2 linked regions of the Yarrowia lipolytica genome follow. The protein of the gene in region 2 interacts with the protein of the main gene of each other region in a pairwise test. Links are inferred from orthologs where the notes say so. Each region holds a gene or a part of one and is shown on either strand. Other genes may lie near its edges.

Evidence for each region. The genes of interacting proteins can lie anywhere in the genome.
Region 1: the proteins of YALI1_E39676g (region 2) and YALI1_E32396g interact in a two-hybrid assay, tested with the Schizosaccharomyces pombe proteins (2 studies listed by BioGRID). The link is inferred for Yarrowia lipolytica from reciprocal best matches to the Schizosaccharomyces pombe genes get3 and pth2.

The regions. Positions count from the first base shown.
Region 1 is NC_090774.1:3,238,318-3,241,254, reverse strand, and holds YALI1_E32396g (uncharacterized protein), read left to right. Parts: upstream 1-1,661; coding exon 1,662-2,324; downstream 2,325-2,937. Other genes in the region: YALI1_E32411g (uncharacterized protein), read right to left, coding at 1-155; YALI1_E32361g (uncharacterized protein), read right to left, coding at 2,439-2,937.
Region 2 is NC_090774.1:3,965,986-3,969,212, reverse strand, and holds YALI1_E39676g (uncharacterized protein), read left to right. Parts: upstream 1-1,604; coding exon 1,605-2,588; downstream 2,589-3,227. UniProt on the Schizosaccharomyces pombe protein: ATPase required for the post-translational delivery of tail-anchored (TA) proteins to the endoplasmic reticulum. Recognizes and selectively binds the transmembrane domain of TA proteins in the cytosol.

The DNA of each region.
Region 1 (2,937 bases), about 730 kb from region 2:
TCCTTACCATCAGCACTAAGATGCAGGCCCTTAGCCCACGAGTGACCAGACCACCAGTAGAAAGATCGATGAATAGGAAAGCTCTTACCCTGAGGACTGGGGTTAGCGTAGTCTATCACCAGATTATCGACCCACTGTCTCTCTGAGTGAGCCATTTCCCGTCTCCCAGCTCTCTATCAACTTTGGCGATATAGCAGCGGCATGAACAAAATAACCATAGTGGATATGAAGGTCATTGTAGTAAGTTACCGAAATCAGCGGGGGAGTCCGTACCAAGGCCCGCAGTAGAGACAATGCCCTTCCAGAGGGTGTTGTAAGCAAGTGGATTCTGCTGTCTGTGATTGACGAACACAGTAAATGCGTTCTTCAATCGACCAAGAAGGTCGCGAGCACATGCCTTATCACCAACGACATCGTTCAGAACCACCAGAATCTGAGTAAATCTGTCTAGACCCTTTCTGGAGAAGTACATGGAATCAAGATTGGTCCGAGTGCGGCTTCTCTTGGTTGGCAACATCGGCGATAATCTGCGAACGCGAACATTGGCATCATCGAGGGAGACTTGTAGTTGGGTAGAACTGCCTTTGGGAGATAGCCCACATCTTGAGGCAACGACGGCTCGACCATTGTGAATTTGTCGGTGATGAACCCACGCATCTGGCCCTTGGCAGAAGAATCATGGGTCGCCATGGTCCAAGTAGAGTAGACAGCAGGCAGTCTGTCATGCTCTGGATCTGATGTTCGAGTACAAACATCGATGGTTTGTCCCTTTCGCTAGAGCCGGCATGTTTGAAGTTAATGCTTTAAGATCCACGAAGGCCATCCTGAACAATGTCATCAGTGGCAGAAGTTCCCACAGCATAACTTCCAGCCCAATGCATACGGGAGCTGTAACAAATGACGGCAGCTTGACGAGGTGTGCTCATCGGGGAAACATGCCCAAGGGGTCTGCAGTCGAGATGGATGCGAACAGGTTTCCGTTCACCCATGGCGCGTGGCGTTTTTCCAACTCGTTTGTATCCTGCCCATGCGCTAGTGCACTAACCAACCCAAGAAAGGCCCTGAGAGAATCTCATCTGACTAGCAGAAAGATTTGTTAGTGAGTGTTTCCTTGGAGATCTGTTTTGGCACGTGGACAAACATATGAATGAGGCTCTTGATGGGTTTACACATGGCTTGCTATCAGTAGTATCCAATCAGGGATCTCTTTACTGTAGTGTATCTCCATTGCTCATAATAGGCAACATAAAAAGCTGTCTACAGTATGAGCGCAAACCGTATACGAGAGTGCATCGCTTAAGTTCAACGAGCCATGTCAGACCCAACACATCCAATCCTGGTCATTGGAGTACATCAGTGCTGGGTGGTTGTTAACAGGAAGAGTACTGTACATACATGTAACTGTGCCTTGTGCTGGAGATGTCCCGAACTCTAACGGTGCTAACCATAGAGCAAACGAGGTGATGTTGATATTCAGATACAGTACGAGTACACAGTTCGGTTGTATATCAAAATGGCACATAATTTTTCCTTCCATTATACAATGCAAGTAAGTTGTCATCGTTGAACTTGTTTATCGCAGCTACAAGTACAAGTAGTGTACCGACGCTTGTATCGGTACAGAGTGCAGTGCGTGCACTCATCTTCCGTCACTTTATGTCATGCATGACCCAAATCAAACTTCGTTGCATCGAAATTTCAATCAACTTCAACACACCATTACAATGTTGACTCTTCCCGCGACCCTGTCTACACAAACAATCAACTACCTCGTGGCATCCGGTCTGGTCGGCGCAGGTGTCATTCTTGGACGATACGTCATTCCTCGAGCCACCACTCCTGCTCCCCGAAAGCTAGCTGCACGAAGACTATCTTCATCTTCGATATCCTCTTCCGAGGCCGACTCGTCCGAGGATGAGTTCACAGAGGAAGACATCAAGCAGCTGCAGGCTCACGAGGACAAAGCCCGTGGAGAATTGAAAATGGTGCTGGTGGTGAGAACTGATCTCAAGATGACTAAGGGCAAGATCGCAGCCCAGTGTGCACATGCAGCTCTGGCATGCTACAGACAGTCCTCCGATCTCAAGCCTAAAACCACCCGATCATGGGTCCGATGGGGCCAGGCCAAGGTGGCCCTCCAGGTCAAGTCTGAGGCCGAGCTGTTCGAGCTCAAGCGACAAGCTCTCGAGCGAGGTATCATCGCCTGTGTGATCCGAGACGCTGGCCGAACCCAGATTGCTGCAGGAAGTGCCACTGTTCTAGGTGTCGGCCCTGCTCCCAAGTCTGAGATTGACCGAGTCACTGGTCATCTAAAGTTGCTGTAAGCGACTGAAGTGCTGGGCATATAGACAGCAACTGAACAACGAAACTCATAGATTAATGCATGATTTACTATATACAAATGCTCCCTTATCATCCTTTACCAAACTCCTCTACACCTAAACACACAGGACCAGCTCTCCAGTGTATTTATTAGCGCGCACAACTCCCATGCTGACAAGCCGATCTCCTCGCTCAAGCTGAAGATCTCCAACCTCAACCTCAACCTCCATGTCCAAATCAATGCAATAAGCCCGCGCTCGTGTAGACAGCTTGGTGATAGGATCTCGCTTATAGGTAAGAGCAGGTCGAGTCACAACACACTTGTATGCAAAGTTATTCTGCGTTTCGATCCACAGAATCTTCCAGTATCGTTCAACCAGTTGAGCTGCCCGGTCAGTCAACCGTTGTCGAGGTCGCAGGTACTGTAAGTAGACACTTCGAAGCTGTCCAGCAGAGAGAGGTTGAGGCAGCTCCAGAATCATTCGAGGGGTCTCCTCCTCCAGAACGTCACACACATCGTCCTGGATATCATGCCATCTGTCTGAAAGAGGTGTGTATTCCTCCTTTCCAGCAGGCGCAAGCCAGTCTACTTTGGGTGTTCCTCGAAGAGTTGCT
Region 2 (3,227 bases):
CCGTAAGTACACCCATTGTACTACTCACGTTAACTCGTTATGGGGTAAGTTGTGGAGAGCGTCAAATATTTATATAAACCGGAAGAACCGGCCCCAGTTTTACAGTTTCTTGTGAAACTCTATTTTTCCAGCGGCCAGCACCCGGGATAACTCTGCAGAATTTTCCGGACCAGACCCGTTGAGCGCTGTGAGGGCATAGCTGTCTAACTGACCCCTCTAGCCTTCTCCCGAGCCCCACTTGGCGATATTCCGACGGTTTCCGCCGACTTTGCTTCACTCCCTGTTATGCAATGGCAGTGTGTCTCCTTCAAACATGGTAACAAGGTTGCGCCCATAACTATACTATAGAGCAAGTTGCGGAGATAGCCATTGGCCAGCTTTGTGTATTTCAGGTGGTTTAGGAAGAGTACCAACGCGTGTGCGATGGGAAAGATAACGCCCACGGTGTGGATTGTGTTACCAGGTGCTACCCCACAGTTGTGCAATGCAATTGTGCGGCGAAGGATTATCTTGTACAAGTGTATTGCAGCACGGCTTTGTATCATGGGATGTAACGGCACGCAGCATGGAAGCGCAGCGGTGTTCTCTTTGGCCCGACCAGTAAGGACAATGTAAGATATGTAAGTTGAGATGTGGGAGTTTCTGGTCACGTGATGCGGAGAAGTTCGGAACTATGCAGTCTATGCCCCAACCAGAGGCTTGGCTACAGCTAAAAGGGAATATTAAAACTCGTCCAGGCTGTAAGGGGGGGCGGTTAGGTGGAGTATCGTCGGGTTTTTGGGACTCTTCTACGGTGAAATCTGTATCCCATCCTGTAGTTGCTATTCCGAGGTTTGCTATAGTGCGAAGAGAGTAATACGTGATTTTGAGACAGACTCGTTAGAAGAGAACTATGATCACCCGTGGACAGATGACACGTACATGCAAGATAGCTTTGAGGATAGAATTTCGGAAAGATGCGGGGGGACCAGTTGACGACAAACTACACCCAACGATCTTTTAGCCACAAGTAGACGGTGGCATTAGCTACATATTCTACGGGGGGGGAGCAATTGACCTGTCCCCCTGCTATTTTCACACTACAGTACGTTGCTATAAGTTTTTTATAGCGTTACTACGAGTACATACTGCAGCGGAGATAACGGCAGTAATTTTGTTCGTATTTTAAATGAGCACTGCACAACTGGACCAAGTACTTGTAGGAGATCCGAAAATATCCCTCAAACGGACGTTATCCCCTCGGAAACAATTTCTCCAAAAAACTTACCGTCATTAGTCAACAGTATTTCCGGTTGTTATTATTGTTATTTACCCCAGATGTCAGAAATTCAACATTTCAAACACACTATTTTCGACTCCTTATTACCCGATTTCAGTTAACAGCTGTCTGTGCTTCGATAGAAACTCTCTTCGGCTCTGAGGCTCTGAATAGCACACTTCCATCATGTACGATCACATTCGAAACTCGTGTCTGAAAGCATATTACCCTAACCCTTGACATACAGCGAGCCTGTCTGTCTGGGACGTGATAGTTTTAGATCTTGTTGCCCCCCAACTACTTGTACTTCAACAACCCCTAGTCCAAGTATCTAAAAAAACACACAATGGACGAAGACTCCCCCGCCCCCTCTCTCCAGAACATCATTGACCAGGACTCTCTCCGATGGATCTTTGTCGGTGGTAAGGGAGGTGTTGGTAAGACCACCACCTCCTGTTCCCTTGCCATCCAGCTGGCCAAGAACCGAGAGTCCGTTCTGCTCATCTCCACTGATCCCGCACACAACCTTTCTGACGCCTTTGGCCAGAAGTTCGGCAAGGACGCCCGACCTGTGAATGGTATCGACAACCTGCACTGCATGGAGATTGACCCCAGTGGGTCCATTCAGGAGATGATCGAGCAGGCCCAGAGCGCAGGAGGCGCTGGAGCCGGCATGACTAACATGATGCAGGACATTGCCTTCTCTATCCCCGGTGTTGACGAGGCCATGTCCTTTGCCGAGGTCCTCAAGCAGGTCAAGAGCACATCCTACTCCGTCATCATCTTCGATACTGCTCCCACCGGCCACACTCTGCGATTCCTGACCTTCCCCACCGTTCTGGAGAAGGCTCTGGGCAAGATCTCCGAGCTTTCCGGCCGATTTGGCCCCATGCTTGGCTCTCTGATGGGAGGCCAGGGGGGTCCCTCTGCTGACGACATGTTCGCAAAGCTCAACGAGACCCGAGCCACCATCTCTGAGGTCAACACCCAGTTCAAGAACCCCGACCTCACCACCTTTGTGTGTGTTTGCATTCCCGAGTTCCTGTCTCTGTACGAGACAGAGCGAATGGTCCAGGACCTGACCTCTTTTGACATTGACACCCACAACATTGTCGTCAACCAGCTGCTGTACCCCAAGAAGGGAGACGACTGCGAGCTCTGCTCCTCTCGATACAAGATGCAGCAGAAGTACCTGGAGCAGATTCTCGATCTGTACGAGGACTTCCACATTGTGCGACTTCCTCAGCAGACCCAGGAGGTTCGAGGAGTCCAGGCCCTTGAGAAGTTCAGCAACCTGCTTGTTCACCCTTACCAGCATATCGAGAACTAGAGCGTGAGGAATTGAGGGAATGTCATAGTTCCACTGGTGGTGTAATTACTGTAAGTAGTGGTAGATTAATAAAGATTTACAGATTGGGCTTGCATTGTAACCTCTGAGGTGTGTCACGTGGATTAAGAGTACAAGTACGCGTATGTACTGTTACAAGGGGGGTGGTGGAGGTGGAGGCGTGTGTATACGGAGGATGGTCACGTGACTGTCGTCGATCGGGTTTTTGTGGCGTTGCACATAAAAGAACCTCATGTTATTTCCGGCGTGAATTTAACGAGTATTCAATGCCCATGTCGTTTAACGTGCAGAATAGAATTTTGGTGGGGTTGGTGGGATATCTTGAACACAACATATCACTGTCTGAAATCGGATGAAAACGAGCCAGAGAAGCCGGAGACATACCCGAACCACTCACGAAGCGTTCAGATTCGTATACTACTTGTCAAATCCCCAAATATCACATTTACTAATCCCCTACTTGTACACACACCCCTTTGCTCCATTAATAGACACTTCAGAGTTCAGATTCATGCAGGGTGTGAATGTGAATGAGCCGAGGTGAGATCGGAGTGTGTCATATAGAGTGGTAGAGAATTCTGCTAGCGAAGAAGTAGTTACTCGAATCAATTCTGACAGCTC